2 linked regions of the Xenopus tropicalis genome follow. Each later gene encodes a partner of the first gene's protein in a complex. Links are inferred from orthologs where the notes say so. Each region holds a gene or a part of one and is shown on either strand. Other genes may lie near its edges.

Region 1 (15,594 bases):
CGCTGCAGCCTGCTATTACCGGACTGGGGAAATGTGCAGCGCGGGAGTAAGCGCGCAAGTTCAGTGCGGCGCCACCCAGCGGCCGGAGGCCAAACAACGGGCACAAATAATCAAGAAGAAAATGTTAGGAGGCTATATTTTAGTTTCAGAGGTGCTAGGAAACCGCTGCAACATGGAAAGTTAAAGTTAAGGATATATTGAAGCCTATTTTTTGCCAGTATAAAATAGAAAAAACACTTTTTGCGCCATTTTTATGCACAGATTCCCAGCCTTACTGTAAATGACATCACTAGGTTGATTATGGCACTGCACAAGCAGAGCTGTTAACCAGTTACCAGATTTTGCCTTCTTCCTTCACCCAGTAGTATTTTTTGGCAATCCCTCAAAGTTTGCGCAGCAGGGTCTCCAGGTTGACATAGAAAAGGTATCAACATGGTGTTGTAACTTGTAGTCAGAGGGTTCCATAGCAAAATCATTTTAGTGTCCTTCCCTATAGCAAAATATATATTGAATGCCCCACTTGGCCCTCTATACCTCCAGCACTTGTGGGTGTGCATCTGCTATAGTTACCACAATCAAATCCAGAGCCTGACCAGGCCCAGACTAGCAATCTGTGGCTTCAAGAAGGAAAGGTAAAGACTAAAGCTGGCCATACACGCACCGATACTATCGTAAGAAACCTGGTTTTGTACGATATTCGGTGCGTGTATGGCATGTCGGCGAGTCGACCGATATCACAGGAAGCTGCTGATATCGGTCGACTCGCCGATCGGACCAGTTAAAAGATTTTGATCGGGCGCCATAGAAGGCGCCTGACCAAAATCTGCCGTCAGGGCTGAATCGGCAGAAGGAGGTAGAAATCCTATTTTTTCAGCTCTGACGGTGTGTGGCGGATCTGACGATGTTTTGTGCAACTGATGGTCGCACGAAACATCGTCAAATCGCCACGTGTGTGGCCACCTTAAGTAAGCTTTATGAGAAAGGTCTATGTAAATACAGCCATAAGCACTTACAGTAACGCTGCACTGAATCCTCTATCAAAAGAAACACAGGATTCAGGGCCCCCAACAGAAATCATGGGGCCCCTTCCCAGCTCGAAAAATATTCTTATCAGCCGGATCCTTCTTGCCACTCTTGCGTCACAAAGCCCCCTGTTTTTGCATTATTATTCCACCTCCTCCCCTATCCCTTGGCCAGTATTTTTAGATACGAAGGGTGGCAACCTTAACAAGGGCTCTCCTGCACGTGAATTATATGCAACCTGTCAGGCCTGGACTGGCAATTTGTGGGTTCTGGCAAATGTCAGAGTGGCTACTTTAAGATACCATAAGCTATCACTATTTATTAGGCTGGTGGGGGGCTGTTTGGGCCTCTGTGTACCAGTCTGGACCTGCAACCTGGGCTTAAGCATTCATGCCCACTTTCCACCTATCCTAATTCAGATTAGTACTATGTGCCTAATTCAGATAGTACTGTATTTAGAGGAAAGCTCAACTCTTTGTGCTACAGTCTGGTAGTAACCAGGATTTTTAAAAGATTTGTAAGTCCAAAAGTAGAAGGATCTGGATATTTGTGACCAAGGTAGGAAGAGTCTTCAGTTGATAACTGTATAGTAAATTGATTCATACAAACTAGTGCTGCATTCTGTTCCAATATAAAATATCCCTGTTGAACTAGTGAATTATGCAGCCTAGTAAAAGTACAGAGTTGGTCCTCTACCAAGCCAGTCTGACCATATGCATGGGTCATTTTCAAGCATTTTGCTGCCCTGAGGGTTATAATTTAATCTTCAAAAAGAATATGAAATATTTTATATATACTGACTTTACTGTACTAACCTTAAAGTGATCTGTGCCTTCAAAGTTGTCACAGGAGTTTCACATCTTCAATATTGTTGGAAGTGTCAGTGACACTGCACATGCTCAGTGTGCTCTGAGTGGCTGTTTAGAAGCTGAGCTTAGGGGTTGTCGCAAATTATCAAGCAGAAAATGAGGCTGGCCTGTCACATAAGATGATGCTACAGGGCTGATTATCGAATTCTGATGATTTCACTATTTTCTGAACTGACATGCAGCAATCATCTGTATCAATTACTAATTAGCCTTATATTGTATATATACAGTATATTGTGAGCAGGCCCGGATTTGTGGCGAGGCCACAAAGGCCCGGGCCTAGGGCAGCACAATTTTAGGGGCAGTATGCCACCCCGTCGCAATGATATTTTAACATTTAGTGGCCATATGGAGCAATGGGGACTTCTCCCCACTGCTCCGTATGGGAGTTTAAATGGCCGCGCATGCGCACTTGCGTCGGCGCAGCACAGCACGGTGGGGAGGTTTGTTCGTGCATGCGCGCTGGGGAGAGGCGGGGGCGCGAATGGGGGGCGGACTCGGGGCGGGTGGATTTGAAATCCGGCGCTGATTGTGAGTCGGTCCCAAGGTCACTAACTGAAAGCAGCACAGAGCATGTGCAGTGAATCAGCAGAAAAGATGATGAGGGGGGCTACTGGGGCTGGTACTAAAGCCCAAAACATAATGTGCAGCATGTCTGCACTACTGCTTTAGTTCTCCTAATATGTTATGGTTTTGCAACCATTTTTGTAATTTTTAACTTGTGCAGTTACATGTTTTTAACTAGCAATTGCCATAAAGTGTGTTTTTATATTAGAACAGAAGTGTCAAGCTTCAATTCTTTGGGTTTTTTTCTGCTCTCTTATGGAATAAGTTTTGTAAATGTTATAGTTATACCCATGGGGTCTGTTCCTTGTCCTTCGTAAGCGTGCAACTCCCCAAAAGTAGTTATCTTGTTACAGGCATTTGGTGTAAAAAGAAAAAAAAATATAGAATATAAAATAAGATTTTTTTACACAAATGATTCAATTTTATGTAATCAATAACAACAAACAGAGTATGTTATGGTATATTATATATATATATATATTTTTTTTTTTTAGGAACAAGGAACTTTGCCTTAAATGTTGTTACTGGAACTGGTAACTGAGCCCCATAGAACCATATATATGTTTATTTGGTAAATAAAATTGCATTAGGTGAAAAAAATGTATTCAGTTTTAGCTGCTGAGGTCATTGCCCTTGGAGTGGAGAGTGTGCAGAACCACTGGGTTTTACAGCCCATAGGGTAATGACACAAGGGGTGCTTTGTCAACAAATTGGCCAAAAATACCTTTGTATGGCTGCCTACTTAAATTGTCATGTGTAATACATTACTATTGCTTAATCAAAATATGCAGAATGGGCTACAAAATAAATGATTAAGAAATAGAAATGTTTTATATGTGGCAATATGACTATATAGCCAAAGCTGAAAAGTTTAGTGTGGGGGGTTCTGTATCCGGAGAAGAGCAGAGAAGGATGTTGCAGATCTGTGCAGCAGGAAGTGTGTGGGTGGCGCTAGAGGGGGCTGCAGAGAATCCCCCAACAGCCAATATTTGTTTGCCCTGGTGCAGTAACTCATAGCAACCAATAAGATTTACTTTTAAAGAGGTGACCAGTAAAAGCTACCTTCTAATTGGTTGTTATGGATTACTGCTCCTGGGCAAACTTAGTGCCTTTTATAACATAAACCCCTTGGCATCTTATATCGTAAATGAGCCCACATAGCATAGCTCTTGACCATGGTCACGCATTCAAATCATATTTATGGAGGGTAGGGCTGCCACAGGCTAGTGCCTTACTTTTTATTGCAATTTAATTATTACATTTTTATTGCAAGTTGTTTTTCATATATATGTTTAGTCCACTATGTGGAAAAGTGGGACTGCACTGGTTTGTGGGAGGCATCAGATAAAACACCACCTCTAAATTACAATAATCGTACAACTCAACAAGAGTCATATTAAAGTACAAAAGCTGTAGAGCAAGCATCTTTAAAATTCTGTATTTATCAAGTTTAAAAAAAGGGAAACTCTTTCTTATACTTCTCTTCTGTCTATAAAATGTCCTATGTTTTCTCCAAATATGTTCCCTGGTACAGCGCAGGGGTCAGTTGCTATAAATATCTGTTACTTCCCATGTTTTCACTAGCTGTTTCCAAAAAACAGGGTATCGCAGTGGGTTGGCAGGAGTCCTCTTGTGCCACTTAAAGTGGTGATTCCCCCTAATGTTAACTTTTAATATGTTAGAGAATATCCTATTCCTAGCAACTTTGTAGTTGGTCTTCATGGGGGTCAAAAACTACTGCTCTGTGAGGCTACAATTTTATTGCTATTGTTACTTTGTATTCCTTATCTTTCTATTCAGCTCACCTTCTTTTCATATTTCAGTCTATAATTTAACCCACTGCCTGATTGCCAAGGTAAACCAGACCCTAGCAACTAGATAGCTGCTGAAATTCCAAACTGGATTGCTGCTGAACAAAAAGCTTAATAACTGAAAAAAAACCCCACAAAAAATAAAAAAGGAAAACCAATTGCAAGTTTTCTCAAAATATTAATGTCTATGTCATACTAAAAGTTAATTTAAAGGTGTATAACCACTTTAACCTTCTCTTTGAATTGACTGTCCACACTAAACATGTGAAGGGGTGGGGGGCAGTTGTGCAGGCCAGGAGGAAGGCTTTACTAACATAGGTAAATTACTTCCGTTCTCCTTTAAAGGTTGAAAATTTAAGAAAAAAAAAATGAGACCATGTCTACTAATATCACTTTGCACACACTGCATTTGAAAAATCTACAGCACATAAAGGGTAAACATCTCTTTTCTCAAGTTCACTGTTAACTAGTTTAATAATGATAACGAAGTAATTCTGCAGTTTTTACTACATATATACAAAACCGCAAAATGCATGACAATAACTTAATTAAAAAAAAACAAACAGAAAATATTTGATACATGACAATGTAAAAGGTTGGGGACCACATCTAATTAAAAGTATAAGAAGAGTCTAGGGGCCACAGAGCAAAAGAAAGTGCAACAAACATCCCTGCGCTGTGCTGTGCTGGAAGCTGATACAGTCTGACATGCTTCATATATAGCAGTCAAAAATTCACAGTGAAGAGGCAAACCCATCTTTATCACATACAGGTATGAGATCCGTTATCCAGTATCCCATTATCCAAAAAGATCCGAATTACAGGAAGGTCATATCCCATAGACTCCATTATAATAAAAGAAATCCTTTTGGGTTTAATTAATGTTTAAATGATTGAAGCTATGGATATCCACATTACATTATGCAGAAATTACCTCAGGTCCCAAGCATTCTGGATAAGAGGTCCCAAACCTGTACTGATAAAATCTGCCCTCCTGCTCAATGAGAGTGGCCAGAAAACAACACACAGGGCTCACACAGTATAGCTCATAGCTAAATCTTTAATTCTGCTTCTACTGTCCACCAACTAACATAGTATAAATGGTGCTATGCTATCTTGCTTTGAACAATACTTCCATGATTAAAAGATAGTAAATTCAGAAATTAGTAAATTTTAGCTAAATCCGCCAGTCTTCCACTCTTTCACTGAAGTTCAAGGCAAACCTGTAACTAACTGCTCTGACAGGAAGGTATGTTGACTGCTTATTAGCTGGATATATCATTTCATCATGCTTAAATAATAATGTTTGCGTTGTCCCTCGTTAACAATATTTAATGTCTAGCGACAACCAAGTGAATTTGGCCCAGTTGTATGATATGGTCATTACGATACTTTTTTTACGGTCAATTTGATTTACAGGTAATAATCAGAAGAACTCTTGAAAATATAGTTTATGTAGTTATTTAACTGGTGCTTAATGACTTAATATTGACAAGAAATGGCAAAAAATAAAAACAGTACAATACACCAAAGGTAATTTCTCTGCAACTCCAATTGGATCTTATATCTGTGTGATAGATCTTTATAATTATCCCAACTTAGGGGACACACACTACACTGAAAAATCTTAAGACATTTGACAAATGGATGAAAGCATAAAAATTCTCCACTATTCGTTGGAAACATGTCCCATCCCTCAGACAGTAACAAGTTCCACCCCTCAGTAAAAGGGAGACTGTATAATCAAAAGAACTTCTCTTTCCAATTATTCTGTTTCCTGGCACACACTTTTAACTCTCTCCTTTGTTCTATGACAAGCTATCAAGGAATCTCAGAGCCAAAATATAAGAGCAATTCATGACAGAAGATGAATGTAAACAAGTAGACACACAGGTCAGTGAACACATCTGCCATCTTGCTATATGTATCCAGTGAACGATTTATAAGTTCGGAGGGAATTCCAGACAAAAGAAGGGCAGCAGTGAGTACAGTTGTCTTAACTTTCTTCTCACCCTGAAAGACAAAAACAAAAGGCCATAGTTAAAGATCAGATTATCCTACAGGTTCTCGAGCCTGTCTTCAGGCCTTACCAACAGTTGTTAGAGCTATGGCCCACACTGTCCTGTGCTGAACCAATCTTTGAAACCAGACCCACGGCCTACAACCCACATTTCTACCCCCTTGGACCCACAACACGAGCCGACCTGCAACTGCTTTATCCACAACCCAAATCACAACCTGCTGACCACCATTAAACGGGAAGTGCTGTTGCTACAAACCAGAAGTGACATCATCAGAAGTGGGTGGGGTAGAAAAAAACAATTTAAAAAATGTTTAAAGGAGTAAAATATAAATAATATAAGAAATATAGATACCGTGTTTCCCCGAAAATAAGACACTGTCTTATATTTTTTTAAGCTCCAAAATATGCACTAGGTCTTATTTTCAGGGGATGTCTTATTTTTCCATGAAGAAGAATACAGTACACATTTATTCCATCGTTTGGGTGGGTGTCTTATTTTCGGGGGGTGCCTTATTTTCCGAGGGGGTGAAAAATCAGGGGGGTGCCTTACTTTCGGAGGATGTCCTATTTTCGGGGAAACAGGGTAAGACCTGCAGACCCACATCCTACCCGCTGCAGGACTACATGTAATTTTAACCACCATTGTGTAAGGGCAGAAAACAGACATTGTAAAAGCCCCACAATCATCCTGTCCCAGATTCCCATACAGCAATGCTGCCCATAATGTAGCCCAGCTCACAGCCAGCAGAGCTCAAGCGAGGAACTTTATCCACAGAGATAATCCTCTGATTACTAATCGTATTCATGTTTTAATAAACTATTACTTTAGGGATAAGTGGTGTTTGGTTAACAATGATTAGCAATGTAGAATTTCTTATTGCTGAATAAGTTTCTATCAAATTGTTACAGGACCTGGATAATACTCTTGCAGATCATGATGCATAGCATTGCTCAAAGCAGACCCTACGCTGATAAAAGCTGGTCAGCCCTCCCATAGAGAGAGATGGGAAATTTACTGCTAGCAGTTTTAATTATATCTTAGTTAGGATCAAGTACAAGGTACTGTTTTATTATTAGAGAGAAAAGGGAATCATTTAACCATTAAATAAACCCAATAGGGCTATTCTGCCCCCAATAAGGGGTAATTATATCTTAGTTGGGATCAAGTACAGGTACTGTTTTATTATTACAGAGAAAAGGGAATCATTTAACCATTAAATAAACCCAATAGGGCTGTTCTGCCCCCAATAAGGGGTAATTATATCTTAGTTGGGATCAAGTACAGGTACTGTTTTATTATTACAGAGAAAAGGGAATCATTTAACCATTAAATAAACCCAATAGGGCTGTTCTGCCCCCAATAAGGGGTAATTATATCTTAGTTGGGATCAAGTACAGGTACTGTTTTATTATTACAGAGAAAAGGGAATCGTTTAACCATTAAATAAACCCAATAGGGCTGTTCTGCCCCCAATAAGGATTCATTATATCTTAGTTGGGATCAAGTACAAGGTACTGTTTTATAATTGCAGAGAAAAAGGAAATCATTTTTAAAAAATGTAATTATTTGTCCAAAATGGACTCTGGATAATGGCTTTCCAGAGTATGGATCCCATACCTGTAGAAACCAGTAATTGAGCATTTTTGCTTTCACACTTACTATGTTACCATTAATTAAGTTTAACTGCAGACACTGAGTTCCGTATTCCATTATTATGCAGCAGGATTATTTGTGTACTGTTAGTCTAGTAAACTACCGCACAAGAATCGCACAATAATAGGACTTTAGACTGACGTAAACATAAGTCTTGAATGGTCCCATATAAAGAAACCACCAGCAGTTCCTGAGAATTATGAATATGAATAGATCCCGTAACCAATTTATAACATTTTTCATTTTTATTTACAATGGTCTTGAAAATTACTAGAAAAACAACAAAAAAGCGTCATATCTAAAACTACTAGCTTACCTTTGGAAAATATTTTGACAACCCCATAAATGCAAGCTGTAGTGTTAGGAATGGTGCAAATATTGACTGCAAAACAAGAACAAAAATACACAATCACTTTGGAGGTAAAAGTGTTAGCAAAAGGTATCCTGTGCATAGTGCTTTTCTGCAGAGCATTTATTCCTCTACTATGTATCCCTTTCAAAGTACATGTGCAGTAAACTTAAGTTTGGGGTGGTGCAAGGACTGGAAGTACCCCAGGGCAGTGTGTGGCTCTGAGAAGCGCTGGCCTAAGGTAAAAAGCAAGCAATTTTAGTCACTTACAAATAAGCACAGCAATCTGCAGTTTTCTTCTTCTTTCAAGTTTGTTTTAAGTGCACAATAGTTTTTTATCCGACCCCTAACTGATCTTTGATTCTAATTTTTTAAAATTATATTAGTTATTTTATAGCTGTAGTAAAGCAGCCATGGGGAAAGTAGAATAGCCAGGTCTTGTATAACTGTGCAGTGTAATATCAACAAGCCAGCATTATGCAGTAGTTTCCCAATGTCATATAGCAACAATATAGTAACATTATCTTTTATTATTAAGTTTGGGCCCCTAAAAGCGCTACACCTGCACAACCCATTCCCAATTCAAGTGAATGGGAGCCACTGGAAACTCTCATTGGTGTCTCTGTGCCAGCAGTTTTGCTAACAACAGAAAAAATGTTACATGAGATAACAAGCCTTACAGCTAATTTCAGAGAAGATTGCCAAGAAGCAATGGTGTAAATATAGAGGAAGCACACACTCCGTGGGGCACTCTACACCCTGTAGTAGATTGCTGTGTGTGCCGCACCCCGCCCCCCCCAAGATACACGAACACTACAGAATACACTAACCCAGATAAACACAAAAATAATTATGTTTATCTGGCACATCTAACTACATGCCTATGCATATGCTGATTGACAAGTACTATGTGGTCATCTTAACAGAAGAAAACTACTTACCAAGTACTTGCACACAAACATCCGGACAGCAAAAGCAAGGAGCGCACTGCCCACTAGTCTGAATATGCGGAAAGAGTCCAACTCATCTACTCCATTCCCATTGTCTGCACTTGGCTTCTCACTATTTAACTGGTTCCGAAGTTTCATGGCCTCATCAAACCTTGATAAGTATTCATCTAATCCTCTTGAGGTGGGCTCTGAATTCACATCTGTTCTGTTTCGTACGCCATTGCTATCATCTCTGACATCAGCATTCTTTAAGAAGTCCATCTTGTCTCCAATATAAGGTTCCTTGCCATCTACACTGCTACAGTGGTGCTCTGCTGAAAGGCCTCCATCCCCAGAAAGGATATCACTTCTCTTGGTCAAGGAAGATAAGGACAGTGAATCAGATTTATCAAGTCTTTCAAAGCGAAGTTCATCTGCACCAGAAAATGGGGGAGAAAAAAAAGTTGCACTTACAATATTAAAATTCATTGACAGTCTACAAGAAAAAATCCTGCTACCCCATATAATACACCTGTCTGCCACACAGTCGTTGCCCCATATTATACACCTGCCTGCCGCACAGTCGCTACCCCATAAAATAAACCTGCCTGCAGCACAGTCGCTAACCCATATTATACACCTGCCTGTTGCACAGTCGCTGCCCCATATTATACACCTGCCTGTTGCACAATCGCTGCCCCATATTATACACCTGCCCGCCGCACAGTCGCCGCCCCACACTATACACCTGGCCGCCGCACAGTCGCTGCCCTACACTATACACATGTGTACATCTGTTGCAGCCTGGCTGCCCCACACATGTCTGTGCCACACAGCCCCAGCCCTATAATGACTGTACAGTTCTCCATCTCCCTATATAGCAGGCCCATTGCCAGGCGAGCCATGGGGTTTATGGCACAGTCACCGCCCAATGCACAATAAAGCACAGGAATGAATGCGGCTGCCGCTGTCTCACACAGCCATGTAGCCCAATGATTGCGCCTCTGTCTCACCGCTGTTCCCTGGCTTGTGAATACCCATAATCCGGTTCATTCTCTCCTCAGAGTTACTCATCAACTTCCTCCGCCGGATCTCCGCTCTCCTCTGGGATGCACTCATCGCCGCCCCATTCCCCGGCTCTCCCGGAACAGCCGGACTCGCCATAGTCCCTGGGTGCAGAGATTCTGACAATCCCGAATGCCTCCCCGTCCGCTCTATAGAAGCACTGGCACAATGAACAGCTCACATCCCACTCTGTGCTGACAGCCTCCGGGCAGGGGGAAGGGCGTGCCATGACATTACGGTCACCTGACCTTGCTTGCAGGAAGAGGCGGGGCTAAGGAATAAGCCAAACGCAGAAATGGAGAGAGGCTTGTTGCAGGTATTTTGGAAACATTGTTACATAGTCAGTGACATTGAATGAAACATAATTATGTTTATCCAGCTGAAAATGCCAATTTAAATCATTATTTTTCGTCTGAATATATAATAGAGGAGTCAGAGTAACGGGACCCATTCTGTTGTACAAATGCTCAGTGTTAGTGGCTGACAGAATGTGGTGTTTATTGCTTACTGACAGCTTAGCTTAGTTTTAGCCACTGTTTAAAATTTTCTTGGGCATCCTTTTATCTATTATGGTGCTAAAGGATTGGAGGAAAGTTATGTCAATCCAATATATAAAAAAAAACTGGCATTTTTGATTAATTCAGTCAGGCCATACAAGCATTAACAGGAGGAGAAGGGAGAATTCAGCATCTGTATGGCTTGGCCTTGCCTATGACAACTCCCATTGATTTCTGTAGAAACCTACAAGCTTTTAGATAGTGAATTGGTGAATTTAGATGAATTTTTACATTTGGGTTTTCGGGTTTTTTTGCGCTTAACAGATACCAGACAGTTGAGTTTTTGAAACAAAATTAGATTTTTTTTTTTAGCACAAAAAAACTTAAACTTGACCGTTAATAAATCACCCCCTTTGTGATTATTTATCATTAAAGGATTTAATATACTGTTTAGTGATTTTGTACTCTTTATGACTCCTCATGGCTTGGGAGAATCCTGAATACGGATTACCTTGATGTGAGGGTTACTCTTTGTCATTGAGTACCCAGGCACAGGGGGTCCAATCATTTTTTATCTCACCATCCCCTTAACTTGGTAGATTTCATCTAGTAAAATTGGCTATTTGTTAATACACTGTGGGAGCTTCTCCCTGTGCTTCAGACATTGCTATGTACAGTGTAAGCGTTCTGAGCACTGTTGAGAGCCACAAGTGCTGCTTGCAAGTTCAGCGCAAATTTCTCTGCTTTTTGTATTAAGTCTTAACAGGACTTTGCTGTTCAACCTATCAGTACCCTAAGTTTTACCCTGTACGTTTTCCTGAAAACGTCCACATTTTGGTTTCCCTTTGGCACTTTAGTGGTCTTTTAAAGCATGAGAGGAGATACTAACCCAGTGAGTGCGGACATGGAGTTTATGGAATAAAGAAGTGCAGAGATATATCTCCCCAACCTTTCAGCCACTGCTCCCTTTCACAGCAATGGAAACAGGGCTTCTGCCTACTTTCTCTGATACAACCCATCTTCAGCCTTTCACCGCTGCTAATGTGTATGGCACAGCTGGAAGGCTGGAAAGCCATATTGGCAAGTAAACCAAATAATGGTGGTATAGAAGCAGTGCAAGGCAATGAAACCATACCTTAAGATTTGACTAATTTGTGTATTTGTGACTCTGAATATACTCTACAAGCTGCAAAAGGTATAAGCACTGGCTGGGGATAGTAGAAACTCTCCACACACTGCAAAAAGCATCTCACAATGAACCCACCACCCGACACAATGAGCCTAACCACGGAATTGTTGACAAATTTAGGTATTCCGTACAAGAGGTACAGAACAAGAGTTTAAGAGGTCTATAGTACTCCAACTTGCAGCACAGCAGTAAAGAGAGACTGAAGTTTATCAGAGCACAAGTTTTGGCACCCTGGGAAACATGTTTTTTCCCCCCAATATGCATCAGTTGATATCTCCAGCAGAATTCTGCATTGAAATCTGTTTTTCAAAAGTACAAACAGGTTTTTTTTTTTAATATTTAATTTGGAAATTTCACGTGGGGCAAGCCATATTCTTTATTTTCCTTTAAAGGACAAGGAAACAATTTAATTGGGGTGGGGGGGGGGGGCATGGTGCCAACAAAATATTTAAAGGAGAAGGAAAGGCTAATAAAGAGTTAATCTCAAGCTGCAGTCATATCTTCAGTTGTCTCAATAGTGCCCTTAAGTCTCCCCATATATACAAGAAAAAACGCTGAGCTGTGTAAAGAAAGTTCCCATAATGCCTCACTCCTGCACCAAGCGCAAGACCGGTGTACATGCTCAGTTAGTAAGACTATGAGTCAGCTTCCTGCTGATTGGCTCAGATCCAAGGGGGGGGGTTTCTTAGCATTCTTGAGAGAGGAGAGAGCAGAGAGCTGCGTGTCTCTAACAGAGGAAAACAGACCCAAAAAATATTTTTACAGAGAAGTCAGTGCAGTGTTTCTGTGAGTGCTTATGGCTATATTTACATAGACCATTCTGATAAAGCTTAGTTTTTACCTTTTTTTTCTCCTTTAAAAAACATAAGAACATTGCCTGACGATCGCGCTTTATGAACATATACAGGAGCATATCAAACAGAATAATGTAAGGGGCAAATAGTATCTTTGCACAGGTATAGGATCCCTTATTCAGGAACCGTTATGCAGAAAGCTCAGAATTAAGAGAAGCCCATCTCCCATAGACTCCATTATAAGCAATAATTTTTTTTTTTTTTTTTAACGATTTCCTTTTTCTCTGTAATAATAAAACAGTACCTTGCACTTGATCCCAACTAAGGTATAATTGATTCTTATTGGAGGCAAAACAATCCTATTGGGTTTATTTAATGTTTATATTATTTTAAGTAGACTTAGGTAAGGAGATCGAAATTACAAAAAGACCCCTTATCCAGACCAGATCCTGAGCATTTTGGATAACAAGTCCCATACCTGTACAAATTTCCATTTTTGTTGCCACGCTTTCCATCAGCAGCTATTTGCTGTTCTAGCAAGACAGAAAAGGGTAGGAAAGAACTAGCAATGCCTTAGCTGAACATGATGAAACTGGGAAAAACATTAACTCTTTAAAAACTTTATTAACATGAAATCCCAGAATAAAAGGTGCTTTTTTTATTAAAACAAAGAAAATCTAAGGTTATTACACACATTTTGTTCTATCAGTTCACTTCACAATAAATTAGAGCCATTAATGTAGAAAATTGTGCCAGCTTATTAAACATACAAGGGGGACGGGCAGAGAGACTCATTACATGGCATCTCGGCTGTTGATGGGGTTGATCAGTGTATCTAATAGTCAAAGGTGCAATCCTATGTAGAACCAAAGTGATAAAGAGACTCTTGCGGGTTGCTTTTGGTGCCTGTTACTGAATAACATTGTGAGCTTGACTGAAGCCTTGAAACCTGCTTAGTACAATAAGCTGTAGTGTACAAAGGCAAGCAGACTTTTTCCTGGAGGGAAAGGAAGGAAACCTTTTTAAATCAAAAGCAAAGCAAGCAATATTTTGATTTTTATAAATCAAGGCGGGTGGCATAGAAAAGAAAAAAGGATCATTCCCACTTTAGGGGAATTAATTGCTTGCTTCCTGCTCCCATTCAACAACCCTCCTTATTAAGACAATGTGTACAAAATAAAACTCCACACAAGTAACGTGTTACTATAACTTTAAATGTCACTTTTGGTGACTTTCATGTTCCACACTATCATTCATCATTGAAGCATGCTACCAAAAAAGGACTATTTTTCCGTTTTCTGCAACTAAAACATGTTTAAAAATGTGGAAAGAATCAAAGCTCTTGCAAAATAAGAACCATGACAGTTTACTTTCCCTTTACATGGTCATTTTTTACATACATTCTTAAGACATGGTGCTTTTTGCTTTCTTATCTCTGCACTCTGCCTGTTTCTATATTGAGAATCTGCAGATTTATCCTATTGCCTTAGGCACAGCCCTTACAGAGACCTGGATATGCCAGGATATGACTTCTCAGCCTGCCATTTACTCACTTTGGTCCTAAGTGATTCGGTATCTTATTAACAAAGGTTTCATTTTTATTTTGGAACACGATTCATATAATTACTCTAGACATCTTGCCATTACAGAAGAAATAACTAGCAGCAAAATAAGAGTTACAGGAAAGCAGACAGAAAGAAAAAAATATAGATATTCTGAAGAAAAATCTGGCTTTATTGTTATTGAACTCCGTTTCATCTCCTGAATATACGCATGGATGCTTTGGTGCCAAGAAGAGTCCTATGTAGTGTCTAAAGACCCATCTGGCAGTGGAAAATTAACGATTCATTAATAGTTATTTTAACAATCATCTGGCAGAAAGAAGCATCACAAATTTTTTGTTTTGTTTTTTTAAATCCAATTTAAAAATGCTGTGTGCTTGCGCATTTCAGTCCCCAAGTATTGTCCTAGAAGATCTGATTGGTTTGAAATCACAGTGTATGCACATCTTATGGCATGAGGCCCCAAAATGTAGTAATGCACAGAATGGGCAGGCCACGAGGTGTGGTTCTGCTGTGGATATTGTCTCGCTCTCTGCTCTCGGCAGCGCTTTATTTGTTCACTTGCTGCTGAAGGTGCAGGAGGAACTCATAGTAAGATAAAGCAGATTCTGTTCGGTCTTCGATCATGTTCTGCAGGAAGGCTGATTTCAGAGGGCTTTCATCGCTGAAGGAACACAAAATCAGAGATTACACACTTCATTGCTTACCAGGCAGTGTTCCATGTTTTAATGGGAAACCTCTCTCTTACACTGGGTTACGATGATATTTTTGACTATGGCTTCACTTTCAGACAGTGCTACTCCCAAGGCACCTTTTAACCCCTGCACAGCTGCTTCTTTTGTTTCTGAAAATCACTAAGCCAAGCTTTAGAGCAGTGGGCACAGAAAGGGCACTGGAAGATGGGAAAGCAGTTTTGCACTGTCATTAATGTGAATCAATCTCCAATGGTAAAACTTTGAATCGTGTCAGTGCCAGATATTACCTTCTCTCAGTGTAGACTGAGTTCAAAGGTTTTGCCAGCAGAGATTTACATACTAACACCAATACAAAGGAATTTTTGGACATTTTGTTGCCTGTGTTTGAGGAGATTTAGCAGGGGCGACAAAATGTCCTATCTGCCATCACTCTTAGGGACCAACATTATCAATGGAAAACATAATAAAAACAATGCTCACACATTAGAACTTCTGAAGAAACAATTATACACACATTTCTAGTATTATAAATTATTATATATATATATATACAAAAGTGCGAGGCAG
Region 2 (15,788 bases), on another chromosome or scaffold:
TTAGCACTTACTTCCAAATGGAAGTCACAAACTATCCCCAGTATATTCGAGGTTTATAACAAGAGTGGAAAACAATAAACGATTTGAAACTATGACTGCCTCTATAACAAATAATGTACAATCAAATGCCAATGTATGGTCACCATGGGAAGCCTATTTCGCATTGTACCCCCAGGAGAGCTCAGAAAATCCCATAAACACAAATATCATACATGATGGAAGTTGAAAGCCATATCTTAAAGAAACAGTAACACCAAAAAATGAAAGTGTATAAAAGTAGCTAAAATATAATGTGCTGCTGCCCTGCACTGGTAAAAGTTGTGTGTTTACTTCAGAAAGTCTACTATAATTTATATAAATAAGCTGCTATGTAGCCATGGAGGCAGCCATTCAAAGGAGAAAAGGCACAGGTTACATAGCAGATAACAGATAAAACACTATTGTATTCTACAGAACTTATTTGTTATCTGCTATGTAACCTGTGCCTTTTCTCCTTTTTTCCAGCTTGAATGGCTGCCCCCATGGCTACACAGCAGCTTATTATATAAATTATAGTAGTGTTACTGTAGCAAACACACCAGTTTTACCAGTGCAGGACAACAGTGCATTATATTTTTAATACTTTAACGCTCTTTCATTTTTTAGTGTTACTGTTCCTTTAACAAAGATAGAGGTTGTAGAACTACAGAATATACAAGGTAATAATGTCTGGACTATATTACTCACTGTTCTATCGGTTCTAAATCTGTTAATACCATGTTTATCTCATTTATATATCAAAGGAAAATCCCAACGAACTAATTGTCAAGATGTCTTGATGAGCAATGTTTCATATGTATTATGTGTATTGCATGATAACTCTCCAAATAAAAATTTGAGCTACAAAAAAAAAAAAAATATGTCATCGCAAGATAAATAACGACAATAAAATCGCTTCTTCATTCACACAAGTCTCTTTTTTGTGAATCGATCGTTAATTCTCAAATTATAAGAAGTGATATTTTTAACGCATGCTAAAAATAAAACTCGTTTTTTCGACCTTTTGTGAATCGGTCCCAATGTAATCAAAGACACTAACCCCCAAATGTAATAAATGGCTTGCTATTGGATAAGAGGGAAGCGGATGAAACCAAACATAACGCTCTACTGTTTGCTCCCAGAAACTGCTTTTGCCATGGCCTCAATTTATTCTGAAATATCATCAAGCAATTTCTCACTGCAGTTTCCAATGTAGATAAACAAATGTGTCCCAATATGAATATGCAGACGTAACAGAATACGATCGCTACAAACCATCCGGGACACATTTGCATTAAAGGAGTTAATTTGATTGGCTTTTGCAAACATGGCACAGCGCTAATACTCTGATCTAGTTAGAATACATACGTTTCTCTGTGCATATCCGCACTCCTTTATAGCTTACTTATTTATAATGAAAAACACATGATAAATGGAATTTAACATTACCGACTGAATTCATCATAGTAAAGAGGGAAAGCTAAAACATCGCACACTGCTGAAACCCGATCACTTTACCATGTGTTTTAAGTTTGTCGGTCATCTTGTTGATTTTGCGTTCCAATCTGGCGTATTTGGCAAACTCGTCCATCATGCTGATATTAGAGAGTTCTTGCCTCATGGTCTGGATATCAGACCTCATCTCATACTCCTGCTCCGCATCTTCCTGTAGTAGCCTGGAGACCTGCAGGGGAAATACAAGATTTTTGGGCATTTATTTATTCACTATCCACATCTAAGACACGAATGTGGAAAAGAGAAAAAGTATTATCATCATTACATGGAGGTTTAGGGAACATCCAGGCAAAAACCTAAATACATAGTAACATACGTAAGTAGACTCACATCCATCAAGTTTATACCCATCTGAAACAGGTCCAGACCAAAATTTCAAATTTAAGGTGGCCATACACGTAGCAATTTCGATGTTAGAAATTCTACCTCCTTCTGTCGATTCAGCCCTGAATGTAGATTTTGCTCAATGGCACCAGATCAAAATCTTTTAACCTGGCCAATTAAACGAGTCGACCAATATCCACAGCCTTTTGCGATATCGCTTGGCTCGTCAAGCCACCATACACTCACCAAATATCATACGATATTATCAGTGCGTGGATGGCCGGCTTAAGCCCCAGCATTTCAAGGCCTAAGAAACCCCACCAAGCCCAGTAAACAATAGTATATGGCATCTTACAGCAGCCCCATTGGCATCAATGTGTTAAGAAGGCAAATGTTGCACAAGAACACGAAAATCAGTTTACATGTTGAAATATCGGCAAAGCAGAAGAAACTATGACTGTTTAAATGCCCTGTATAAGTAAACGGAGATCAGGGGGGCATTCAAGGTAAACTGATAGAATTTGTAGTCTCCTGAGTTGTAAACCATAGCAGCCAATTAGTGATCAGTGATAGTAACCCTGTTTAAAATAATCATTGTTTAGTAAAGGTTTCTGTTCAGGGGTACCAGGAGAATTAGGCCTGCTCACCCTGGATCACTGCTTTCCCTCCCCCACTCCCCCCTAACCATTTTGGAGTTATTGAAAGAGGGCCTGAGGGAGGAAGTATGGGACGGGAGTAGTGGGCCCTTGAGGCGGTGGCCCCACACACCCCAGTCCAACAACCTTCCTATTTCAACCTAAACATATTACTAGTTGTGTCAATTCCCCCTACACAGTCTGTTAAGGGTAGGGATGTGCCATTATCCAGAAAGCCCAGAACTAGAGCAACGTTGTCTCCTATAGAGTCAATTATAACCACATAATCATTTATCTAAATGATTTCCTTCTTCTCTGTAACAATAAAACAGAACCTTGTACTTGAATCCATACTGGTAGCGAAATAATCTTATTGGGTCTATTTCATGTTGAAAAGTTTGTTTCGAAGACTAAAGGTGGCCATACACGGGCCGATTGTAGCAGCCGATATCGGTCCCTTAGACTGATTCGGCAGCTTATCGGCCCGTGTAGGGGCAGGAACGAGGGGCCTGCCCAGCCGATATCTGGCTTGAAATTGGATAGATATCGATCAGGCAGGTTAAAAGATTACGTCGGATCATTGATGCGGTCCCCGAACTGACTGCGCCCATTGCTCCCATTGTAATTCGATCACTTGGCCCAAGTTACAAACAATCAAATTAGCCTACATTTTCCCGATATCGCCCACCCATAGGTGGGGATTTTGGAAGAAGATCCGCTTGCTTGGCCACCTCGCAAAGAGAGCGGATCTTCACGTGTATGACCACCTTTAAGGTATGAAGACCCAAATTATCAAAAGATCTTTTATCTGGAAAAGCCCCTGGTCCCAACCATTTCAGATAAAAGATCCTCTCCTGACCCTGGCAGCTAGAAATGTCTGTGTCTCTGTGAGGCACACATTTTATTACTCAGTTGCCAATGTTCTCAGAATATCACTTAGGCTAATGCCCCATGAAGAGATTAGTTGTCCGCGATAAATCTCTTTTACCGTAGTCGCATGAAGTTTTCTACCACAGCCAAATTCTTTGCACGACTTTGGGAAAATGAAGCAACGCGTATGCCTTTGCACCAGGGATTCAATTTGCTGCTGGTGGAAGGGTATTTCGAGGAGATTAGTCGCCCGCGGCAGCAGAGATTTATAAGGGGCAATGTATCTCTCCTTGGGGCATTAGCTTTAAAGGTGAACAACTCAGCAGCTGGAATGCTGTAGTCAGTTAGCCAATGGGGCTTTTTTGTGTTTCTGCCATTTGCTCGACAATCAGGAAGCAACAGAACTACAAATAAGTAAAGGCAAGGGACCTGTTATCCAGAATGCTCCGAACCCGATGTTTTCCAGATAAGGGATCTTTCCATAATTTGTACCTCCATAACTTAAGTCTACTAAAAATCATTTAAATATTGAATAAACCCAATAGGATTGTTCTGCCCCCAATAAGGATTAATTATATCTTAGTTGGGATCAAGTACAGGTACTGTTTTATTATTACAGAGAAAAGGGAATCATTTAACCATGAAATAAACCCAATAGGGCTGTTCTGCCCCAATAAGGGGTAATTATATCTTAGTTGGGATCAAGTACAGGTACTGTTTTATTATTACAGAGAAAAGGGAATCATTTAACCATTAAATAAACCCAATAGGGCTGCTCTGCCCCCAATAAGGGGTAATTATATCTTAGTTGGGATCAAGTACAGGTACTGTTTTATTATTACAGAGAAAAGGGAATCATTTAACCATTAAATAAACCCAATAGGGCTGTTCTGCCCCCAATAAGGGGTAATTATATCTTAGTTGGGATCAAGTCCAGGTACTGTTTTATTATTACAGAGAAAAGGGAATCATTTAACCATGAAATAAACCCAATAGGGCTGTTCTGCCCCAATAAGGGGTAATTATATCTTAGTTGGGATCAAGTACAGGTACTGTTTTATTATTACAGAGAAAAGGGAATCATTTAACCATTAAATAAACCCAATAGGGCTGTTCTGCCCCCAATAAGGGGTAATTATATCTTAGTTGGGATCAAGTACAGGTACTGTTTTATTATTACAGAGAAAAAGGAAATCATTTTTAAAAATTAGAATTATTTGCTTATAATGGAGTCTATGGAAGATATCCTTTCCATAATTCTGAACTTTCTGGATAACGGGTTTCCGGATAAGGCATCCTATACCTGTACAAAACATAAATTTTAAGTTAAATGCAATTTTAAATCAGTGCAAAACATAAATTTTAAATTAACAGATTTTTACTTAATGCATCCTCCACTTTTGCAGCCATCTATCAAGCGGGGTTCAGCACCCAGTACTCGCAAGTAACATTCACATGATGCCATTGGACACAGGTTTGAATGTGCTTAACATACTTTGCTCCATAACCTCGAAATAATAACATTTGTGTAATGCAAATATCCCTTTTTATTTACCGATTCTACCCCCCTGCTTTTTCACCCACAATAGAATGTACATAGCTTATTTTTTTTAAATGTTAAAGAAAAAGTATTTTTTTTTTTTTTTTAAAAAAAAAAAGGGAACTGTCAGTGGAAACAGTTGGCAACCATGAGACATAAAGAGATGACACAATGGTGGCATGGCCGTCTTGTGATGTTTAAAAAAACACTTGGGGACGCACTGGGAGAAAAAAAAAAAAGCTGACAGACAGCAGAACCCTCCATACTTGTTAATGGCAGGATTTCCTAGCATTAGGCTTACCCCTTTCCACTCCTAGCCATTTGCGGAATTAAACTCTACCCTCCCAAGGGGAGATGTTTGTAGAGTGTAAGCTCTTTTGGGCAGGGCTCTCTTCCCCTCCTGTATTGGTTATTAATTGCTTTATTTGTTACTCTGTATGCCCAATGTATGAAACCCACTTATTGTACAGCGCTGCGGGATATGTTGGCGCTTTATAAATAAATGTTAATAATAATAAATGTTTCCCTTCATATAGGGGTTCCCTAATGCGCGTAGCCGATATAAACCTGCAATATAGCAGTGCTTAACGTGAGGGAAGGTTATAATGATGCCACAATAAAGATGGCAGTTGTGACATCGCTATAACAGGCAGCAGATACAATCCCTAGACTATATTCCATATTAAAACCAGCATTCTATGGGGAATTGGGCTGCAGCTTTGCCAATGCTGTGTATTAAAGATCAGGCACCTCTATATTCCTGGAGCACTAGGAGACTTTTTTACTCATTTTCTAACACAACAACCCTGTCCCCCTTCTTCCTTAAGGGTGAAGACACACAGAGCTACTAGTAGCAGCTACTTGTCGTGGCTACTAAAACAGACAATGCTGATCATTTACTGATAACTGTCTATGTGTGTTTTAGCAGAGGCAATTCTCAGTATTGTCTATGGCAGGGGATTTTCTGGCATTTTGTAGCCGTGACAAGTAGCTGCTACTAGTAGCCTAGTCTGTCTTCACCCTAAGGGTGTGGAATACACTGAGCTACTAGTAGCAGCTACTTGTCGTGGCTACTAAAACAGACAATGCTGATCATTTACTGATAACAGTCTCTACGTGTGTTTTAGCAGAGGCAATTCTCAGTATTGTCTATGGCAGGGGATTTTCTGGAGTTTAGTAGCTGTGACAAGTAGCTGCTACTAGTAGCCTAGTCTGTCTTCACCCTAAGGGTGAAGACACACGGAGCTACTAGTAGCAGCTACTTGTTGTGGCTACTAAAACAGACAATGCTGATCATTTACTGATAATTGTCCCTGTGTGTGTTTAGCAGAGGCAATTCTCAGTATTGTCTATGGCAGGGGATTTTCTGGCATGTTGTAGCTGTGACAAGTAGCTGCTACTAAGTAGCTCCATGTGTCTTTGCCCTTAAGGGTGAAGACACACAGAGCGACTAGTAGCAGCTACTAAAATCCCCTGCCATAGACAATACTGAGAATTTCCCCTGCTAAACACACACAGAGACAATTATCAGTAAATGATCAGCATTGTCTGTTTTAGTAGCCGTGACAAGCAGCTGCTACTAGTAGCTCAGTGTATTCCACACCCTTAGGGTGAAGACACTACTAGTAGCAGCTACTTGTCACGGCTACTAAACGCCAGAAAATCCCCTGCCATAGACAATACTGAGAATTGCCTCTGCTAAACACACGTAGAGACAATTATCAGTAAATGATCAGCATTGTCTGTTTTAGTCAAGTAGCTCCGTGTGTCTTCCCCCCTACAGCATATCGTCCCCCTCCCGCGATTCTCGGGCGATCAGTCGCTTACTTACAAGCGAGGAGAAAGAAGGAAGCAGGATTTTACAGAGATTGCACAGAAACACGGCGCTCAGCACTAACAGCCACGCCGCACAGCTCTCCGCCATGTTTCCCAGCAGCTCCCACATCGGCTGCAACAATAGCGATCAGCAAACCCCTCCCCCTTTAGAGGTGGAAAGAATCAAAACATGATATCGCTATAAAGATCTATAGGACAAAGATAGTTTTTTTTTTATTATGGTCGGTACCAATTGGATCTATTGTATCCCCCCCCCCCACACACACACACTCAGCAGCGACGAGATCGGGTTAAAACAGCGATCGCAGGGAACAGCGTGGATAGTGACGTCGCTCCAAGCACGATGCGTCTCAGCCAATCAGCGAGCGCCCTTGTATTTACCACCAGCGATTCAAACAAACGTGAAAAAAAAAAAAAAATCCCAAAGCCGATTTACTACCCCACCGCCGCCACATCCCCCCTTAGGGAGAAAAGGAAGGAGGAGGAGGGGAGGGGGGGGGTGAGTGACAGGCTAACCTACCCAGACAGGTGCCCGTGTTATGGTTTGAAAATCCACTGAGAGCCAATGGAAAGGGGGGACCGGGGTGGGACATACGCTTCCCCTCCCCCCATTCTCTCCAGCCCCCCCAACAGGTTAGAGCGGTGAATAGATAAAGAGGCGGAGGGATCCTATCCGGTTTGAACTAGTTCTCTGGCTCGCATATTAACCGCTTGCAAGCGCTAGGGAGCCGACTAGTCTTTGTGAGTACTCCATCTGCAGGAGGGCTCGCACATAGAAAAAACAAATATATATATAAATAAGTGCAAGCAAGCCAGGGATTTAAGTGTGTAGGCGTCCATTTGCAGAGAAGGCTGCTAAGCGTTCCCGTTGCTTCTGTCTTTGGATTCAAGCGGTGCACACAAGCCCTCAGTGCAGCCATGCCTAAGAGAAAGGTAAGGAGGAGCGCTGCAAGGACGCGGAGGGCTCCCTGCGAATATTAGCGGGAATTGCAAGCGGCAAATGGGTTTATGTCGGACGCGCGTATTCGTCCGCCGTTCGCTTTCTACATGGATATATCCGCGGTGGATAGAAAGTCCGCTTGTGGCGACGCCGAGGCTTTGAAAAAAATGGCGGTGGGATACCTTTTTAGAATGTGGTGCATTTGGAACTTTTCCTACTGGAATTGCAAACGCTTTTACTTTAATGGGGGGGAAAGCAGCCCGCACTATTTTTCTTCGTTTTCCTGAGGGGGTCGCGGTGACTTGCTGAGGGGGGGGGGGTTCCTATTAGGAATGGCGGGCTTCTTCGCTTGGGGAGACGGCGTAGGAGGTTCCGCGTTGATTTTTGTTTTACTTTAAACAACATGGAGGGTTGGAGTTTTAATTATGGAGAATGGCGGGAGGCGGCTGTGGCGGGAATTCTGTGAGGTAATGTCGTCGGGAGTGCACGACCACAACATGGCGGGGGTTGTGTGTGTGTGTGAGAGATTGTATACGCTGCAAGTGGCCCTCCGGGGGATTGCAAGTCTAACCTCCAGCGGGCCATTAGTTGGCCCCTCTATAGAGGCGTGTGGTGAAAACAACGAGGGGGGTGTGTGTAAGAGGAGTAATGTCGGGCGGGAGGGGGTTGGACGAGATGAGCGCTCCTTCCCTCTACTGCCCCCTCCTCCTTCTCCCTGCGTTTCCCTCGGCTCTAGTTCTCTTCAGCGCTCCTTCGTTCGGACTGGTCAGCGCCTGAAAGGGGGAAGGTCTTGCTCGTTCTAGAACGTTCCCGGATCCCCCAGAGCCAATGGGGCGAATGATTGAACTAGTGACGTCACTTTATCATTCCCTCCCCCCCCCTGCTAGAGTTGACATGGGCTGCCCCTGTGCGTGTTATCTCCGCTGAGGGGACTGTACCATTTTTAAGGGAAGGGGGGGTCGCGCAATAGATAGGTGGCATTCGATTCCTAAGTCGACTAAAGAGTAATTGTTTAAGTGGGAGTGGGGGGTAAATCCGTTACATGGTCATGACGAGTGCGTGTTTGGGTTACCAGGCGTCTTTAATTCTTCTTTAGCGCGCCCACCCCTCTCCTTCCGTGTGTGGTTTGTTTTTGCCTTGGAGTATTGGTTTACCTGCTTAGCGCCATCTGCTGGTGCGGCGGGTCACTAACCTGTTGCAATGGGTATTTGTGCATTGTCTTGTCCAAGGTCATGTACTGTGCGCTTATCAGCGCTGATACCCTGCCCTGATCTAAATCCCTTTGCCCGCAACCTGTCATTCTTCTTTGTGTTTAATACTGTGGTGTTGTGACTAATGGCACTTTCTTATTCCAGCAGGTGAATGCTGCTGATGCTGCAGATGCCAAGGATGAGGTGAGGAGCAGTGATTTCAACCAAAACACTTCTCAAAAGTTTTATTACTTTGCTGTATCTAATCATATTTTTATATTTTTTTTAATTTTTTAGCCCAAGAGGAGATCGGCACGGTTGTCGGCTGTAAGTGTTACGGTTTGTATCATTCATGGAGCTCAAGCATTTTTTGTAGCAATTAAACCTTGGTATTGAGGCGGGAGTTCAACAAAATTTTTTCCTTTTACATAAAAAAAGATAAATTTAATTAAGTTGCTCTCCTGTGTGTGTGTGTATTTGCAAATAACATTTTAAAGGAACAGTAACACCAAAAAATGAAAGAGCTTTAGAGTAATAAAAATATAATGCACTGGTAAAACTGGTGTGTTTGCTACAGTAACACTACTATAATTTATATAATAAGTTGCTGTGTAGCCCCGGGGGCAGTCATTCAAGCTGGAAAAAAGGAGAAACGGCACAGGTTACATAGCAGATAACAGATAAGCTCTGTAGAATACAATAGTGTTTTATCTGTTATCTATGTGCCTGTGCCTTTTCTCCTTTGAATGGCTGCCCCCATGGCTACACAGCAGCTTATTTATATAAATTATAGTAGACTTTCTGAAGTAAACACACAACTTCTACCAGTGCAGGGCAGCAGCACGTTATATTTTAGTTACTTTTATACACTTTCATTTTTTGGTGTTACTGTTCCTTTAACTTAAGACAGTATGTCTGACCTTTGGTGTTGCCACCCGAAATGCAGCAGAACTCTGTTCCCCTGCCTTGCACGCTTGTTATCCCTTATTGCGAACATGCAAGGCATTGTGGGAATTTGAGTCTTGGCTGATGCTGCATTCAGTTGTCAGACGATAGTAATTCGATTTAGACATAACTTATGAAATCATTGAACGTAATGTATATTGGAAGCTTGATGAGACGAGCATAAAGTGTAGTTCAGTGGCCATGTTTAAGAGTATCTACATTGATCCATTTATGTCTAATTTTTTGAGATTTCAACTGAGTTTTACACATGTTAGATTTTCTCCTTCACTTTGCTTGTTAAAGGGGAGCTAACCCCCTTTAAACAGGGGTTTACTCTGCAGGCTTTATTGAGCTCTCTTGCAGTTGATATTAACTTTCCACTTCTAGTTGTCTGTTTGCATTTTAGACTGAACTTTTGGCTTTGCTAAGAGTCAGCAATACAGAATGCAGGAAGTGAATAGACAGGGTAGCTCTGTCTTCCAAAAAAGTTCTTGGCAAATAATATTTAAGTTGCAAAAGTGCTCAAACTGTTTATTATTTGAGTGGTTAAGATTCTATATAACCAATCTGCCATTATTAACCATCTGAATTTCTTGTAGAAACCAGCCCCACCAAAAGCTGAACCAAAGCCAAAAAAAGACAAGGCACCCGTAAAGGTAACTAACTTTTATTCGTTTGTATTGCTTTCAAAACATTGCATGTTTAAAAACAAAATTGGGACAATAGCTAATAAGTCTTTCTCCCAGTTAGACTGATGCCTACACTTTCCATACATCTGTCAACCTTGCTTTTTATGCCTTTACACTGATACCTTGAGTGACTTGTAGCAGGCTAAAATTAGGTTTTATTTTTTTCCCCAGAGCAAGCCACTTGTTTTGTTGGGCACTGTCCCTTTAGGTCACTGTCCAGTTTATTTTTAGCATGCTGTCAGTTTGTGTAGCACAGGGTACCCAAAAGGCAGATTGTGATATAGAAGTTAATTTTGAATGCATGGCTAGAGTATTGTCCACAACCCACATCATTGGGTAAAACTCCAGATGTTTAATGATGGCTGTGCATCCCAACTTTTTTGCCTCTGGGTTGTCTTGACACTGTCAAGAATGAAATGTTATGTCTCTTGGTAGATGAAGTGAGATGACCTGCAACTATAGTAATTGGCCAATACTATATTGCCATTTTTACAGTATGCATTAGGTTGCTTCCTATTACAACTTAGGTGGTTTTGCACAAGTGCATTGGGAGCTTGGGTAGTGGGTATGTTTCCCCTTGCCCCATTTCCTAAATGGATTGAGTAATTATATATAACTGTTAAAATACCATAAGAGCAAAAACAAAGGCCTTCAGCATTTTTAATACGCTTCTTGCTGTAACACTAGTGCCATTTGTATAGACAAGTGCTGTGGTAGCAGCAGAGACTACAGTGAGAAATTTAAACATTCAATAGGGTGGTTACATGTATCTAGAACTATAAATAGATTCCTGCTTTAAATATAAAATGTTTACAGTACTTTTTCCAAAGGGGTTTTAGTGTGAAGTAGACTGATACATGTGCAGTTTGCAGTTGTTCTCCATATCAGCTCTAGTTTGGTATCTTTAGTAGCTTTCTGGTTGCTAGGGCCCACCAGGTAGTTGTTTGAATGACAGTCTGGAAGATGAATAGAGGGATAAGTAAATTAACCATATAATGTTAACCTCAGCAATAGTTACCTGGTTGCTGGGGTCAGTGAACTCTCCTATCTCCAGCTTACAGTTTAAAGTGCAAAAAATGAAGGCAGACAAGAAATAATGTGTAAAAACCATCTAAAGTAGGAGGTTCTAAAACATACTTAAAAGTGAGCTGTCACTTTAGGATAAGTTCACTAGGACTATGTATTCAAATGTTCAGAACCAAAGATGCAGGTCCATACTCCGATCAGTTATATTGGAGTTGTGATTTGCCATTTATGATGTAATGGCAGTTGATGTAGCCCGTTGTGATGGATATATGGCTAACTCTTATACTGTCACTGTGTTCAGGAAAAGCCTGAGGAGAAGGAGAAAAAAGTTCCAGCAAAGGGTAAAAAGGGAGCAAAGGGCAAACAGACAGAGGAAGCTAACAAAGAAGAAGCTAAGGAAGACCAGCCGTCTGAAAACGGAGAAACAAAAAGTGACGAGGTAAGTCTGCAGCATTGCAACAAAGTTAATATCAAAGACTCATGTTGAAAGTGAAGATACAAGATCTTAGTCTGCTTTTCCTGGTTAATCGTGACTATTGGCATTTATGCATGAGTTTAAACCTCGATACATGTATTAGACAATTAGCACAAGTGTTTGTGTATAAAGAAGCAGTGCTGTGGTTAGGTGTTGTTGTGAAACCTCAAGCAGCAACTCTAATGGAACGGAGTTTGTACCATAGCAGTTTCTTTTACTAATGCACAGTACTTGGCAGACATGAAAACTTTTCATAACAAAGTTTTGTTGGTTGATATAAAACCTTTATTTAGGGATCATAGTCTTTTGAATTGCGTAGGTGTCCATTGACAAATTGGAAACTCCATCTAATTCTAAACCGCTTTCAAATTCACCTTTAATGTCCTAATTACATGTAGTAGCAGTCCCCTCTCCTTTAGCCAAGACTTTCACAAAACTTGCGTGTTCCATGATAACAAGCCTGTGAATGAGTGACAGAATATGCAAAGGAATTTGGTAACTTGAACAGTAATTGTAGTACATTGGTTCAGCAGCACATGTAGTCGGGATCAATGGTGCATAGAATAGCGAGCAACGCCCTACTGGTTTAAATGGCAAGAATACATTTTAGGTGATTTTAATATATTTTGGAATTTTACTTTATTGTGCAAAATTCTTTAGTATTTTATTGGGTTTACATTTAGGAAGGGTTTACATTTAGTCCAGTAGTTTTAATTTGCACTGAAGGAAGACCTAATACAAAAGCAAATGAGTAAAGTGGTACTTGGGGTTAGTAATGCACAGCAATTGGTGCTTCCAAGCAGTAGGTGGCAATTACTGGGCTGCCAATTGTTTGCTGGCTTTTCTGTTTTTACACTACTTCCCTGCTGTCCCTATAGGAGTTGGCAGTCCTCAGTTGAATTCTGAACATTTCAGTGTTGGCTGTAGCCCTGTACACTTGCAATTTGCTTTATACTTTACCTTAGGTATGGAATTACATGAGATCAAAGGTTACAATACTGTAGGGTTGCATTAAAATGTTTCTTTACATGGGAGGGTCCAACCTAATGGCCAACTGGGCTAAGATCAGTAAACGCACTGCCCTAAATATTTAGTGCTATAGCAAAATGGCTTGTAGAACAGTTTCATATGCATAAGTTTTGGTGTAGCTACAAAAGGAGTAAACCCTAACAGTCTAACCATTAAAACAAGTATTTGCACATGGGTGATGGGAAATGGGATTTATTATCCAGAGCAAAAAGACCTGTGGCTTTCTAAAAAATGGGGGGGGGTCTTTAAAATTTAAAGCAGTGTTGTGGGTAAGAAAGCCCTTCAACATTAGGAACTATGATAGGATTGTTTAGTAATAAACCTGGATTAATTCTAAATAAACACATTTGCTGAACCCTCCATAGCACCTTGATGGTGCTGTCGATTCTTTTGACTGTTTCCCTTGAACTATGCTTCTTGGTAAGATCAAAATAGCCCATGACCTAAACCTGGGATTTGGCATAGCAATAATTCCATACTTTCTGGATAATAAGATAATGAGAACCAAGATAAAAATTGTATTTAACTTTCTCTTTTTCTCTTCCTACCAGGCCCCTGCTTCTGATGGAGGCGACAAGGAATCAAAGTCTGAATAACCTTCATCTTGTACCGAGTCTTTTATCAGTGGTTCCTGTACCTCCCTTGTACAATTCAGAGGAATATTTTTATCAACTATTTTGTAAATGCAAGTTTTTTAGTAGTTTAATTCTAGAAAACACATTTTTAAAATAGGAGGGAATCCCCACCATTTTTTTGTTGTAAAAAAAATTTTTTTTAAACACTTATGATTTGGTACATTGCCCCTGTATGGTTTGTAAAGGCTATGAATACTATACCAGTTAATACTACACCACAAACCAGTTACTGTGGGGAGTGCAAGCCTTGAGCAGTCTAAAATGTTTTTTTTATTTTGTTACAAAACGGCTAGTACTCTATGCAGGCTGCCGGTCGAACAGGCAGTGCCCGATACTGGTACAACTGGCGCAAAGATCACGGCTATTAAAATGTCTTAACGTTTTAACTGTTCTTTGTACTCATGTTGTCCTGCGTACAATTTACACTTTTAAACTAATAAATCTCCCAAGGTGACGGATTTCCCTCTAAAGAATTGTGTACTATCTGTGATGTTACCATTTTATTTTTTTTTTTCTGGGTAGTGGTATTTTATTTTCAGTAACTTTGTAAAAGTGCTGTGAATCTCTTCTGGGGAAACTTCTTTGAGTGTGTAGTGAGTGTGATGTGAAGTAGGGAGAAAAACAAAAAGGACACGGCGGTTCATGTGTTTGCATCTCTTTCCTGCCAAGGTGGCACCTATGCGTGTTCGCTCCTTCTTGGCCGAGAAATGGGTTGAATTATTTGCATCAAAGATGCTGGTACGAGGGGTGCTAGATTTTCTACGAAACAACTTCTCTCTGAACTTTAAAAAAAAAAAAAAAAACCGGAAAGCCGCTAGAAAATGGATTCCAATGACTTCAACGACATTGTTTTTATTTTTTTTCTTTTTTCATATTTTTCCTAGATTTCCAATCTACTAGAGTTTTAAAAAGGAAAAAAAAAATGTACAGATTGTTCATAGTGTCTGTGTACTGATCACCAAACCAATAAAACCTGGTTGAAAAAGTTACCTAGCTTTTGTTGGACTGTAATTGTAAACAGTGGTCAGTTTTACTACTTTTGTTTAGTCTGTTCTGTCCATACAAGTGCGTACTTCAGGGAATTTGCACCGGGTACAAAGTCTACTCTAGTAAATTGCTGCTGGGTAGGTTATTGATGCGTTAGAAATGGCATTAGGCCCCTATAGCATTTTAGATGCAATGCAGATGAATCTGGGAAAAGTCTCAATGGGTGTGTGACGGGTCAGATTACTTGCCAAGTGTTCTATCCATTTAAACTTACCAGTGGTAGAGGGAAATGCTTGTACCTTTTTGATTAGGATGAATCCAAAGCCTAGTTTGCACATTCAGTTTTTTTGGACAAATCAACATTGTGTTGGTTTTGAACAAAAAAATTGGTCGTCTGTTGTCCAGAGTTTTAAAGCCATGACTTTAAAGTGTTTGGATTCATTTTGGTTAAGCACTTAAGATCAGCTGAATCCTGCAAAAAGTGCTAAGCTTTGGCCTAATCCTAGATTCAGTGCATACACCATCATACTCCTTCTCTGGTCAAACGGGCATTGAATAAAGTGCAGTAGCACTCTGACAAACGCCTTTGCCCAAATGTGTATGTATTATAGCCCCACAAATGTACATAGTGCATACATTAAACAAACTGTCATAGTTGAAATTATCAGTGAGAAGTCTATCCTTAAGTGCTAAGTCCTAATGAGGTCCCTATACCAAAGAGCTGACAATTTATTAGAATGAGAAACGGGTGTGGATTTATTGCTACAAAGGAAGGAAGCAGATCTTTAAGGAACTGTTTGTATGGGAGCTTTCCTCATACAAGGTGGTAGGGCAGGTATGGTTAATATCACTCCAACTTGCAGTGAAGTGTGACTGAATCTTTTTAAAGCACAGGTCACATGGCTGTGGCACCCTGGGAAATGAAGAATATGGCTAGCTCCATGGGAAAAACGGATTACAATGCAGGATTCTGCTGGAGAAGCTCTATCAACTGAAGTTTTCCCATGGCAGTATTGCTTTAATTATTAAATGGGACCTGAGGGCCTCTGCCTAAAGGTGACCATACACACTACAATTACGATCTTTCCTACAACCATTGGTCATAGTTTGTCCTCTACTAACTTTAAGAGCTGA

What was found.
Region 2: camlg (region 1) and get1 share a complex: the UniProt entries of both Homo sapiens proteins name them as parts of the golgi to ER traffic (GET) complex. The link is inferred for Xenopus tropicalis from reciprocal best matches to the Homo sapiens genes CAMLG and GET1.

The regions. Positions count from the first base shown.
Region 1 is NC_030679.2:26,208,934-26,224,527, forward strand, and holds camlg (calcium signal-modulating cyclophilin ligand), read right to left. Parts: upstream 10,517-15,594; 5' UTR 10,390-10,516; coding exon 10,239-10,389; intron 9,977-10,238; exon of another isoform or gene 9,906-9,976; intron 9,660-9,905; coding exon 9,238-9,659; intron 8,330-9,237; coding exon 8,264-8,329; intron 6,284-8,263; coding exon 6,092-6,283; 3' UTR 4,721-6,091; downstream 1-4,720. Other genes in the region: protein transport protein Sec24A, read right to left, coding at 14,882-14,996. UniProt on the Homo sapiens protein: Required for the post-translational delivery of tail-anchored (TA) proteins to the endoplasmic reticulum.
Region 2 is NC_030678.2:11,728,498-11,744,285, forward strand, and holds the start of get1 (tail-anchored protein insertion receptor WRB), read right to left. Parts: upstream 6,868-15,788; 5' UTR 6,827-6,867; coding exon 6,734-6,826; intron 1,703-6,733; coding exon 1,537-1,702; intron 1-1,536. Other genes in the region: hmgn1 (non-histone chromosomal protein HMG-14), read left to right, coding at 7,657-7,671, 9,034-9,072, 9,166-9,207, 10,413-10,469, 11,830-11,967, 13,584-13,628. UniProt on the Homo sapiens protein: Required for the post-translational delivery of tail-anchored (TA) proteins to the endoplasmic reticulum (ER).